Callithrix jacchus: one gene and its partners. The protein of the gene in region 3 interacts with the protein of the main gene of each other region in a pairwise test. Links are inferred from orthologs where the notes say so. Each region holds a gene or a part of one and is shown on either strand. Other genes may lie near its edges. The genes, in order: P4HA3, FAM131C and NDN.

Evidence for each region.
Region 1: the proteins of NDN (region 3) and P4HA3 interact in a two-hybrid assay, tested with the Homo sapiens proteins (2 studies listed by BioGRID). The link is inferred for Callithrix jacchus from reciprocal best matches to the Homo sapiens genes NDN and P4HA3.
Region 2: the proteins of NDN (region 3) and FAM131C interact in a two-hybrid assay, tested with the Homo sapiens proteins (2 studies listed by BioGRID and IntAct). The link is inferred for Callithrix jacchus from reciprocal best matches to the Homo sapiens genes NDN and FAM131C.

What each region holds. Positions count from the first base shown.
Region 1 is NC_133511.1:66,648,849-66,652,980, reverse strand, and holds part of P4HA3 (prolyl 4-hydroxylase subunit alpha-3), read right to left. Parts: intron 3,172-4,132; coding exon 2,948-3,171; intron 1-2,947. UniProt on the Homo sapiens protein: Catalyzes the post-translational formation of 4-hydroxyproline in -Xaa-Pro-Gly- sequences in collagens and other proteins.
Region 2 is NC_133508.1:53,397,794-53,402,509, forward strand, and holds the start of FAM131C (protein FAM131C), read right to left. Parts: upstream 3,322-4,716; 5' UTR 3,083-3,321; coding exon 3,061-3,082; intron 2,938-3,060; exon of another isoform or gene 1,926-2,937; intron 1-1,925.
Region 3 is NC_133507.1:5,529,584-5,534,058, reverse strand, and holds NDN (necdin), read right to left. Parts: upstream 2,906-4,475; 5' UTR 2,818-2,905; coding exon 1,852-2,817; 3' UTR 1,006-1,851; downstream 1-1,005. UniProt on the Homo sapiens protein: Growth suppressor that facilitates the entry of the cell into cell cycle arrest.

The DNA of each region.
Region 1 (4,132 bases), on a different chromosome or scaffold from region 3:
TTCTGCAGACTAAATAATAAATCATGTTTCCTCCAGGTCTGCCATTAATCTGTTGCTTTATTTTTTCTGTACCTCAAGTCCTGTTTGTAAAAAGGTTAAGCTAAAAAATGCTAAAAATGACTGAACTTTTCCTGCCAAGTTAATTTGTTTAAAATTTCCATGAGTAACTTGAAGTCCCAGCAATACGGTAGACTGAAACAACTGGAATCCTTCCAAATACAAACACTCGGACATTTTGAATAAACTATAAAAAGCATTTTATTATATAGTTTCAAGGAAAAAACAGAGAGTATCAGGTACCAGAAACAAAAAGGGCTAAAAGCCCAAACCATAAACTTATGAGCAGATGCTGACGTTCCCTAGGATGGGTGCTGCGTGTTACTCATAGTAACCTTGGTGTTCAGTAACCTTGCATTATAATGCCCATTTGAAGATAGAAGATGAGCCATCCTTAGACTTGCCCCAAGCCCGGGAACTGAAACTAAGACAACTTCATGAAACTAGATTTTATAAAAAACCGAACCTTAAAATAAAAAGTAGACCAGAAAAAAAATTTGCCTGCTGGCTTAATGAGACAAGAAGATTTGTTTGTTTCTGCCTAGCTCTGTGTAAGAATATTCTCAATTTTGAGCCTCTACTTCATATGAGTATAGGGATTAAATCTGCAATATTCATATGGTCAAGGAACTCCTAGGTCAATAAATAAATATAAAAATATATCTAAGGCCAGTGATAGCACCAGAGTTTCAGGAAGAAGAAAACCCAAAAGTCTCTGGAGGGATATTCCTACAACTCTGGACACATTGATTCTCTTAGGGGGAAATGTCCTGCTGAAAATATGCTCCCAAACACGACAAATTATATTAGGAAATAATCTATCATGAGCAAGAATCAACAGACACAATAGTATGATGACAGAATTAGACAATTAAGAATTTCAGAAGATAGGCTAGGTGGAGTGGTTTATGCCTGTAATCTCAGTGCTTTGGGAGGCTAGGCAGGAGGATCGCTTGAGGCTAGGAGTTTGAGACCATCCTGGGCAACATAGTGAGACCCTTACTAAAAATTAGCTGGAGGCACATCTATAGTCCTAGCTACTCAGGAGGCTGAGGTGGGAGGATCACTTAAGACTTCCCAGGTGGAGGATCACTTTGATCAAGGCTGCAATGAGCCTTGATTGTGCCACTGCACTCCAGCTTGGATGGCAGAGCAAAACCCTAAAGAAAAAGAAAAAGAATTTCATAAACTAGAAAGGCTTTAAAATAATCTATAGAAGAAATAATTGGGGAAGTATAGATGAAACAAATTTGGCCATGTGTTGATAATTAGTGAAGCTTATTCTGTGACTTGGCAATACCACTCCCAGGTATTCATCTAAGAAAATAAGAATAAATGTCCATAAAAGGACATAAAAGGATGTTAATAGCAGTTTTATTCACAGTAGCCCAAACTAGAAGCAATCCAAGAATCTGTCAACAGAAAACTGGATCAGTAGTTTGTGACATATTCATAGAATGGAATACTACTCAGCAATAAAAGAAATGAACTACTAATAAATGACACAATATGGATGAATTCCATAGATGTAATGTGCTGAGTGAAAGAAGCTGGACTCAGAAGGGCACATACTATATGATTCAGGATTGTGGCTATCTGGGCAAGGATGCAGCAGAAGGATGATGGGGTGGTGAGTAGTGAGGAGGATGAGTGGGGTTTTAGCTGTATGAAACGTGTTGTTTTAAATATTAAAGAAAGAAAGCAAAATTTGAATATATATTCATTACAATAATAGATATAATTGCTTGTTATATTATTTTATGTTCGTTTCTTATATTTGAAAAGTTTTATGTCTCAAAATAAGTAAATAAATACAGAAAGAAAGATTGCCAGTAAGACTTTCAGGAAGTGACTTACTACATTTTCAACATACGGTTTTACTTTCAGAAAGGCCTCACTAATGAAGCATATGTTAGTACCATACAGCAAACTATATTACCTGGCTTAAATTTAAATCAGCCATGAACATGATAATTGAGCTCTGATTCCGCTCAAGATCCCAGAAAAGAGAAAATAGCATGTAGAGAGACTCAAGCAACCCACTCTGCCTTAATTTGGAAGACTGACTCCCAAAACCTGGAATCAGGACACATGAGACCCACTCCAAGATCTGGTGATGAATACTGTAGGAGTCAGGAAAAATACCCCTTACTGAAATAAACATTCAAAATTAAAAAGGATTTGCTCCGTTGCTTTTTAAGGCAAAGGCTGGCAAAGAGTATATTATAAAATGATCTCAAGTGTGATTACAACTTACAATCAAAGATCAGTTAAATAACTCAGATGGGGATGGGGGCATTTCCTGAAGTCTAATTACTCAAGTAATGTTAAAGTGAATGGCCTTAGATTTTGGACACAACTTTAATTTTGTATTTCTTAGGAAATGTTGTGTTGGATTCCAGAAAGTCTCAGGAGGCTGTTTCCATGATCCCACCTTTCTACCATCATCTCTTATCCTTTTCCCCAACCTTGCCCTCCCTTCCCCCTGCTTTCCCTTTCAACCATCTGTTCATGCACTGGCAGGGTGCAATAGTCAGGGTGACCAAAGGGCTGTTTTCCCCAGTTCATGTCTGTTGTCCTAGCATAATTAATAACACCCCTTTCAGTCTCAAGAGTGTCCTAAGTATATAATCACCTTAGTTACTACAGAGAGGGCCTGAGATTGGGAGTCAATAGACTGGGTTCAAGCTTTAGTTCTCCACTTAAAATTGTGTAATCTTAAGGCAAGTTATTTCCCCTCTCTGAATCTTGTTTTCTTTCTCTGAAAATGGAAATGATATCAAATTTCCAAGTTTAAGTATTAGAAAGAAGTAAAAGCAACCGGAACATAGTTATTTTATCCATAAGAAACTATAGCCAAGCAATTGGCCCTCTCTCTGAATATTATTACCTTGCCAACTTGGAAGCAATCATCCCCTGTGAGAGAGAAGAGCCGTTTGGGGCTGTACAGATCAGTGATGGCAGAGCCAGTGACTCTTTGAAAGACACCTCGGGCCAGGCCTTTCACATTGAGCATGTACACGTCCTGCAGCCGCATCAGGGCCCTTGCTGCTCCCTCAAGGTCCTCAAAGGCTGGAAGGTCTTGCTCCACCTTCTCATAGCCATCCTTCAGAGCTATAAAAGTAGTGAAAACATCAACCTGCCATTCAAGATACAAGTGGTGAGCATTTAATACATGTAAGGCATGACCACCTGTTCATTTAATGAGACCAAATTGGATTTGTCTTTGTGACACAGAGTGGATACTTAATACAATTTTCTGAATGAGGAATATTCAGAATGAGTGAATGAGGAGTAAAAATTAAGGCACACAGCTTTATCATATTGTCCTATCCTGTATGTTTCCAGGAGTCTTGCCCTTTAGGGAGACAACTTTTCTCCCCTCCCCTCCCCCTTTCTTTTAATAGAGATAGGATCTTGTTCTGTTGCCCAAGCTGGAGCACAGTGGCATGATCGCAGCTCACTGCAATCTTGAATTCCTGGGCTCAAGCGAGCCTCTCACCTCAGCCTTCTGAGTAGGTAGGACTTCAGGCACACAACATCACATCCATCTAATTTAAATAATTGTTTTTGTAGAGATAGGGTCTCACTATATTGCCCAAGCTGGTCTCAAACTCCTGGCCTCAAGTGATCCTTCCAACTCAGCCTCCCAAAGTGTTGAGATTATAGGCATGAGCAACTCCGCCCAGCCTCTTCTCACTGTTAACTTCCCAAAAGTCAACAAACTTCTTCTTTGTTTTTTCTTTTTGAGACAGCGTCTTGCTCAGTCGCCCAGGCTGGAGTGCAGTGGCGGGATCTCAGCTCACTGGACTCTTCACCTGCCTGGTTCAAGGGATTCTAGTGCCTCAGCTTCCCAAGTCTACAGGCATGCGCCACCATGCCCGGCTAATTTTTGTATTTTTAATAGACACAGGGTTTCACTATATTGTCCAGGCTGGTCTTGAACTCCTGAGCTCAAGCGATCTGCCCACCTTAGTCTCCCAAAGTCCTGAGATTACAGGCATGAGTCACAGTGCCCAGCCCAAAAGTCAACACTTTTTTTCTTTGAGACAAAGTCTCACTCTGTCACCCAGGC
Region 2 (4,716 bases), on a different chromosome or scaffold from region 3:
TTGAACCGGGTGGCAGAGGTTGCAGTGAGCCAAGATCGAGCCAGCCTGGGCGACAGAGCAAGACTCTGTCTCAAAAATAAATAAATAAGAGAGCAATAGCTACTATGTACAAGGGCTTACTATGTGTTGGGTACTGGTCTGAGTGCCTTATATGAATTAAGCCATTTAGTGCCCCCAGCAACCCTATGACACCAATTTAGAGATGGGAACACAAGGTCAAGTCACTTGCTGAGGTCACAGAGCTAGTGAATGGTGGAGTCCTGGTTCATATCCTCTCTGTCAAGTATGCAGGAGCAAACTGCTGCCGATGCTGGGATGGGGTTGTTCTCCCAGTTGTGGCCTGACCTGGGGTTTGGGGTTTGGCTGCATGGCCCCAGCTGGGTGCAAGCTCTGGGCTCTGTTATGGGCATCAGCCTGAGGCCTGCAATCCTTGCCCTTGGCCAAGGGTGGAGGTACTCCCTCCACCCTTCCTTCTATAGCAGTGCCCACCTGGCCCAGCAGGCACTCAGTGCTCAGAGGCTACGATTAGCAATCAGTTGCTGGTGCTGGGGCCAGGTGGGAGCTCAGGAGCCCACGGCAGCCTGCAGCTGCAGGAGAGTAGACAGGTGCAGGCAACAGGGCCGAGGGCTGGCTTCGAGTGCAGAGACCGAGGCCCCAGGCTGTGGAGTCAGAGCACCATGGTTTTAATCTTGGTTTATACCTTCCTAGCTGTGTGACCCTGGTCAAGTTACTCCACTGCCCTCTGCCTCAGTTTTCCACTTGTAAGATGGAGACTGTGCTCATATATAACTCAAATAGCTTTAGCTGCTTAAAACTTTCAGATTAGTATGCTTCGGAGAGCATCAGTGACAAGGAGAAAGCTGGGCGGGGGCAGTCAGTGGTGCAGCCACCCAGTCTCTGGGACCCTGGCTGTCCTCTGCCCACGTGGCTCCCCATACTCCTTTCACCTCTACCCAAATCTCCTGGGTGCATGTCGAGACTGTCAGGGGCCTGGTCCTCTCAGGAGTGGGACAAAGCTGGACCATCGAGTCAGATCTGGGGGACACTGGGGAAGCCCAGGCTGCAGAGGAAGGGTGGAAGGAGCGTACCTTGCCTGCTGTGGCCCCAAAGAACCCTGGAAGAGGGGCCGGTGGAAGGAACCCCAGGTGTGGGGTCAGAGGACCTGGGCCCCAGCCTCTCAGGGTGACCTTAGCAGGTATCTCTTCCTCCCTGGCCTCTGCCCCGTGCTCAGTGGGTCCTCAGCTCACAGGCCAGTCCACCTGGGCTGGGACCCCAAGGCACCTGGCATGGGGTGGCCAAATGAAGGGGAAGGGATGTGACCACTGAAGAAACACTCAGATTCCCTCAATCTGGAGCTGGTCTCAGCCAGAGACTGCCTAGAACCTTTGGGGTTTCTGGAGACACCCTCAGACTCTTGAGGGCCTAAAGAACCCCCAGCACTCCTTACTCTTCAAACTCCCTTCCCCACCCGCTAGGCTGGGGCCTCCTGGACCAGGTGCTGGGCTGGGTTCCTCGCTGCTGGATGTCCAGCGTGCACACACTGCCTGGCACATGGTGGGCATCATGTTAATATCAGCCTAATGCATGGATAAGTAAAGGAACCTCATATAGTCCTTATACTCCCAGCAGGGGGTGTGTGGCTGCAGGGATGAGAGCACAGCATGGGACCCTGTTGCCTTCCGGGCTGCAAATTGGGGCAGGGATGCCTGCGGTGACTGACCTCTGCATGCTTGATCTCTGTGCTGCCCCCCCCCTGCCCCCCGCGCCCCCCGGCCGTCCCTAGCCCTGTCTCCCTCAGGACACTGCCTGCCCAGGGGTGCGGCCGGGCCATGAAAGGCAGGGAAGTTACAGTGACCTTGTACCTTCCCATTCCTCACCCATGATCCCACTCCTGACATCTCCCAGAGACATCCTGAGCCACTTACCTGAACGCTCACAGAAACTCCCAAGCAGAAGCCCTTAGAGTCCAGAGGATGGGGGAAGGGCGTTGTGCTCCTTGCTCAACACCCCCAGGACAAGGTCCCCTCTATTCCCGATAAGCTACTAGGGGTAACAGGTGTGGTGGTGATCCATGGGTTTGGCCTCAGCCTACAGGGCCTGAACCAAGGCCAAAGCCACCCCGACTCCCAGCCACACCCCCTGATCCCACTGTGGGGTGAATGGACCAAGGTTGGGGAAGGGCTTAGCCCAATCGCTGTCTAAAATGCTGCCCAGAGGTCTGTTGGAAAGTTGGTGGTGGTGCTTGGGGTGGAGGAAGGGGGTTCCAAAGACCAACCTGCCCATCCCCCAATCTCTGTGCAAGACTCTGCATCCCCTCCTCACAGACAGAAGGGGCCGGGGCCTGCCCTGTGACCCCAAGCAAGGGCAGGACCCTCCACCTCCCTGGGTATCATCTGGGGGAGAGTGCAGGGTGGCAGGTCAGACACAGAAAGGCCCAGGGGTAACCGGGAACATTAGCTGAGCTCTGGCCCTTCGGTCCCCAGACCAAGAATGGGGGTGGGGAGGAGGATTAGGGATAAAGGTTGGGGCAGGGGAACCTTCTAGATAACCTGTGCCCCACCATTAACCCTTTCCTGCCAACAGGGCTCCGGGGCTCTGCAGATGGGGGTACCCGGTAAGGTGTGGGGAGGGGTGGAGGGGGTTAGCTGGTAAGGCCTGTGTCTTGGGGAGGGGTGGGAGAAGAAGGGTCTGCTAGTTCTCCGGGTGCCCCACAGTTCCTCCAGTAAGCCAGGAAGAACCGGAGCCTCCCTCCCCTCCCAGGCACCCGGCAGGGGGTGTGTGGCTGTAGGGCTGAGAGCGCGGCGCGGGACCCTGCTTCGTGTCACCTGCAGGGCTGCGAACCGAACCCGGGTCACCGATGCGGTGACCTCTGCACGCGCGCTGTATTGCCCCCGCCTCCTACGGTCTCCAGCCCTGTCCCCCTCAGGACGCCGTGTCCCCGAGGGTGCGGCCGGGCCGCGAAGGGCGGGTCGCCAGCTCCATCCCCCAGGTCTCCGAGCGGCGAGAGGACCGCGCGGGTCCCTGGCACCCGATCCCCCACCACCGGCCGGGCCCCCTCACCTCGCGACACGCAGGAGCCCATCACGGGGCCGCGTGGCCGGGCCGCTGTCCCCGGGGTGCGTGGGGCCGCGGGGCGCTCATGTCTCCGCGGGCCCGGGGCTAAGCGCTGCGCAGCCAGAGGACGCGCGGGGAGGGGGCTCGGGCGCCCTCGGCTCGGCCTCCGCTCCCGCCCGGGTTGTCCCCGCGGCCGCCGCGCCGGGCTCGCCTCGCGCCGCCGCCTCCCGCCCCGCGCCTGCCGCCGCCAGGGAAGGGCGAAACCGCGGGGCGCGGCGGGCGGGGCCAGGGGAAGCGCAGCCGGGAGACCTGGGCACACCTGTGGCCGCGGAGTGCGGGAGGACCACCTCTGTCCCTTCGGGTCTCCGGCACCTCCCTGAAGGGCTGAAGGTCAGGGAAGGAGACGGAGGGGGCGGGGAGACTCCTGACATTTGGGGCACAAAGTAAACAAGATGAATTTAACCGCAACAGCGACAACTGGGCACGAGGGCTTGGGGGTTGGGGAGGGGTGCGCACAAGAACAACAGTTCCATTAGGCCCATTTTGCAGAGGGCGAAAGTGAGGCTTGCAGAAGTTAGAGGCCCTGCCTGTGAGCCCTAAGCTATGAATTTAGCGACTTTTGACTGTCAACACCTCATTCAGAGCTGTTGAAATTAACATATGCAAAATAATACATGCCCAAAGTTGGGGTAGAGAGTGGGGATGGTGCGCTGGTGGCCTGGGATCTCCAACGCGATGGTTGAAGATGGGGGCAAGGCTGCCTCTCAGGGCTTGTCTAGGGCAGAGTAAACTGAGGCACGGGTTTTTTCCCCAGCACTGGACGACCTCTGTAGTCATTCACATTGACACACACGTACCTATACACACACTCTCCCATGTGTACATCCCCCTCATTCACACACTGGTGGTCATACACACACACACATATACACACACACTTGCATTATATACACAAACACACACACGTGAATACACACACACTCTCCCGCGTGTACATACCCCCACTGACACCCACACAATGACAGAGTTATCCACTCACATTTATGTATGCTTGCATTTACACACACACACATCCCAGTTCCTGAGGTCTGAAGATCCTTTAGCAAAACTTCCCAGTGCCAGTGTCTGAGACCCTCACTCACACATGGTATCTCACTCCTTCACGCTCACCTGTGCACCAGGCAGGACAGCCACTCTTGTGTCTGTTTTCCAGGTGAGGCAGCCAGGTTCACTGGTTTTGGCAGAGAGGGGTTTTGAAGAATGAATAAGGAGGGGCCAGCGTGGTGGCTCATGCCTGTAATCCCAGCACTTTGGGAGCCTGAGGCAGGTGGATCACTTGAGGTCAGGAGTTCAAGACCAGCCTGGCCAACATGGTGAAACCCCGTCTCTACCAAAAATATAAACAATTAGCTGAGCGTGGTGGTGCATGCCTGTAATCCCAGGTCCTTGGGAGGTCTATGCAGGAGAATCACTTGAACTTGGGAGGCGGAGGTTGCAGTGAGCCGAAACTATGCCACTGCTTTCCAGCGTGGGTGACAGAGCAAGACTCTGTCTCAAAATAATAATAATAATAATGATAATAATGAATAAGGGTTGAGGCAGCAGCATGGGGTGGGGATGGAGGCCTTTTGAGGGGCAGGATCTGGGCCAGGGGGTGCTACC
Region 3 (4,475 bases):
ATTCCAGCTCCCAATAAAAATTGTAATTCCTTTTCCCTAATAAGACTCCCAGTTTACTTCTTTCCGGTGTTACGTGATGCGTGTCCTCTTTATTACCCATCTTCCCCAGAAAACTTTCTGGCTTTGGACTCTTTTGTAGTTTAAAGGACTTCCAGTCTTATTAAAGGCCCTTTTCTCCCTGCTACCCCTTGCAGGACTGAAAATTCACAATGATATTTTTCTTTGGGCATTGCCCCTGGAGCCCACCTGAAGCCCATCCCATCCTCTGAGGATTACCTGATTACCTCGCAAATCAAGGGCTGCCAGGTCACAGATATCCTGATGGGCAACCCCACCCCCCTCTCCCAGGTGTCTTGTGTGTTTGTCAGAGAAAGCACCTTCACCTCCAACCCTCAGGAAACACTGTTTCAAATCCAGGCTTCACTGCTAAACAAGAATGAATATCACTTTCTTATGTTAATTAATCTCTCCACAAAATATTTTTTTGGCTGGAAATTCCAAAAACAAGATGAAAATTTCTTAATTTACACAATCAGAATAATCTTGCTTTCTCCAAAATATTGTGAGAACTAGAAAAATAAAATTCCTAGCCTCTCTCTCTGTGTGGCCCATGAATGCATGTGAGTGTGGGAGGTGGGAGCTGGGAGTGTGGGCTCCCACGTAAAATGTAAAAATAAGTTTGAAAATAAATAACCTAAAAGCCACAGGGTGTATGAGGGATTGTAGGCAGGTGGGGACAAATGTGGGCTCTGGATTCATTCTGAGTTGAAGTGCCAGCTCCTTCTCTTGCTAACCTTTACAAGCTATGGAAAGTTAATTACCTACATTATTCCTGTTTCCTCCATGGTGCAAAGGCAGTAGATGCCTTCCTCACAGGCCTGTTGTGAGGGTTAAATAAAAGGGGAAAAATACATGTTAGGGCTGAGTACAATGTCTCACTCTTTAAGTGCCCACAAGACATCCATTAATTTTGATAAAATATAGAAACTTAAGGGAAGGAAGTTATTTTTAGTTTTTATTCTCATATGATGTGATGATGGACAATCATACTGCTTTGTTTTTATACTTTATATTTGTGCATGTTTTTGAAATAAACAATTACATTTAAAGACAATAAAACTATAACCTTCACAAATTTAGGAGTAATCACGAGTAGCGATTTTTCCCACCCTATTAGGGGAAACAGTTACATCTGTACACATTGTAAAATAGAGAATTGTCTCATTCCCAATCATAGTGCTCTGTTAAAATGATAAGAGTACACTTTTCCAAAAATGATTGTATCACAAGAATCTTTAATGTTTACTTTAAAGTTGACTCACGGTAGGGTTGTATATGTGTTTAGTAAATTGTGCCAAGTGCTCACATTGAGACCAGTCCAGTTCAAATCAGTTTACTCCACGAGAATGTCTTCTGTGCCCAGCAAGGTCACGAAGAGCCTTGACTTTTCTCTTGGTTAGGCCAGCTTTGCTGGTGAGTTCTTCCAAACTCTGCAGGAGCAGTCTACCCCAACACACATCACCAGTCCCATATAAAATAATAAGATGCAAACTTTCTCAAGGTACTTCGTCAGTTTAGCATGTCTCAGGTACAAAAATCCAAGAAAGGTAGCACAAAAGCGAAAGCACCAACCAAGCTTACATATAAACAAACATGCATACATCCTAAATACTACACAAGAGTACCCAAATGAATACAACATTGCATTAAAGGTATAAAAGCACTGTACTGAAAACTTAAAAGTTACACGTGAATACTGCACTGTAAATCCCGAACACTCTAATGACCCACCCCCACCCTTCCACAGCCCCGGTGAGGGTCAGAAAGCATTTCATCTGCCTCCAGACCTTGCTAGTCCTCGGAGACACTGTTGCGGGGGCAGTGAGCAGCGGGATTAGCCTCCCGCAGAGCTCTGGCCTCCTCCAGGGCTTCTCTGTATCGGGAGGGCCAGGCCTGGGGGTCTTTCTTAAAGACCCTGGCCAGGAACTCCATGATTTGCATCTTGGTGATTTCACGGCTGGCCCGGGAGCCCCAGAAGAACTCATACTCTGGCGGCTCCACGTACGGGACGCGCTGGTACTTCAGGTAATTCTGTTGGACGAACTCCTCGGTGATGAGCTTTCGCACGTCCCCGAAGGTGGAGTGCTTCTTCCAGGGCCGCAGCCCCAGGATGCGCAGCACGTTCCAGACGGCGCTCTCTCTGGCGCCGCGGCCCTTCACGTAGATGAGGCTCAGGATCATGAGCAGGAGGCCCGTCATGGGCATGCGGTTGCTCAGCGCCACCCTGTCCAGCTCCTCCGGCTCCAGCGCTTTGACCAGCGCAAACTCCATGGTGTGCAGGCTGGTCAGCCTCAGGTGCAGCCCGAACACCCGGGCGAGGATGAGGCTGGTGCGCCGCAGGATGCTCCTGCACCACTTCTTGTAGCTGCCGATGACATCTTTCACCATGTCTGGAAACCAGATGATCATCTTCTTCTGGTCCTTGACCAGCACGTACCACATGAGCTCGTGCGCCTTCTGCACCAGCTGCGCCGGGGCGGGCGGCGCCGGGCCGGGCTGGGCCGCGCTCGGGGCCTGGTGGGCGCGGCCCTCCTCTGCGGCCTCCAGCAAAGCCTTCGGGTCGACCTCCTCGATCGGGGCCTGGGGCGGCTGCGCGGCCTGCGGGGCGGCCGTCGGGCCTAGGGGAGGGCTCTGCGGCTCCGCCAGGGTCGCGGACGGAGGAACCCCCCCCGGAACCCCAGGGCTGCTCTGCGCCTCGGAGCTGGGTGCCTCGGCGGCAAAGCTAGGGTCGCTCAGATCCTTACTCTGCTCTGACATGTCTGCGCCGTCTGGCAAGGGCAGGGCCTCTGCGTCCAGGAGCTCTTCGAGCCTGCGCTCCCTCCGCGGACTCCTGGAGAGGAAGTGCGCGTTGCTGCGCGCGGCGCCTTCCGCAGCGGCGGGCAGGGCGGGGCGGCGGCGGGACGCGGCACTGCGCCTGCGCGACCGCGGCCAGGGCGGGCGGGCGGCCGGGGGCGGGCGGGGCCGCGAGGGGCCCCGACGGGGAGGGTCCGCGGTGAGGCGTCACCTGGCGGGACAGCGATCCCGGGGTTTCCTGTTCCGGCCGAGGAAGTTCAGGGTAGGAGAGGAGGGAGATGGATGCCTGTGGAGAAGGAGCAGGTTTTGGGGAAAGATGATAACTCAGGTTTTGGGGATGCTGGGGTCGACTTTCCTGGGAAATGCTCGCCTGGGTATATCCAGAATCCAGTTAAGTATGAGAGCCCCAGAGGAAGGTCTGGGAGGCTGTGCAAACTGGAGCTTTATGTGAACGAGTGAGAGGAACGGTCGGGCTGTCCGAGAAGACGTGTAAACTGTGAGGCGGATGTCCGAGGTTGGAATCCTGAGAAATTCCAATAAAAAGTTGATTGACTCCCTCCCTACCACATCAGAGGGGTTATAAGGAAAGGAGAAATGCGGTTATAAGGAAAGGAGAAATGCAGCGTGTCGTTAACGTGATTTCCTACCCGCGTGAGCCGTGAACTTGTTCAGGAGGCAGTGGGCTTAGACCATCATTGATGCTTTCATGGGCATAGGTTTGGCTTTTACACTTACTTTGAGTCACTTTGATTCCATTTTCTTTTATTTTTCCATGCTTAGTCCATAACAGAAGGATTGCCATATCTATTAGCACAAACTTGTATGATAATGCATTTTTCCCTCTGCCCAGCACCTCATTCTCCGATTCACCTTCTCCCAGGACCTTCTCTGAAGCTACTGAGTCCTCAGTGTTGGGAGTCACACCCAAATCATTCCTTCCTGAGATCTCCAAAAAGATATAGGTCCCATGGGCAATATCTGGCGGTGTCTCAGATGACCAAAAGGTAGCGGGGGCAACATATGGATAGCCCTGTTTTCCAGTTATAGAAAACAGATTCCCAGTGGGCCAAGGCAAAGCTGTCACTCCTAGAGGCTGTCCGTGGAAAAAGGGGCATTGCTGGAGCCTCCACAACCAGGGGCCTCCATGCTGCTTCAGCATCCTTGGTCTGCGTTGATGTGGTCCTTCAGCCCTTGCCGGGTTCCCTCTCATCAGCAGCTTCTTAAATATGTTGTCTCGAGTCTAGTTATTGCCACTTGAAGCCCAAAGCATGTTTTAAAATTGTCTTGACATGTCTAGAGTCCTCACTATGAGTATCTATCTTTTCTCATTTGTCACTTTAATTTTCCTCAAGCAGGTTGGTGTTGAAGGGTTTTCTGTGCTTTCTCTGGTTGGGTTGGCATGCATGTGACACTTTTGACAGGGCCATTCCCACGCCAGTCCCTCCAACAGGACTCTTTGGTCTCTTTAGCTTCCCACTCCACCAGGGAAATTCATAGATATCAGTCTTACTTGGAATTATTTCAACACTTTTCTCTTCCTCCTCCTCCTCCACCTCCACCTCCTCTTTCTTCTTTCCATCTACTTCTTTTTCTTCTCCTTCCCCTATTTATGGATATCTACC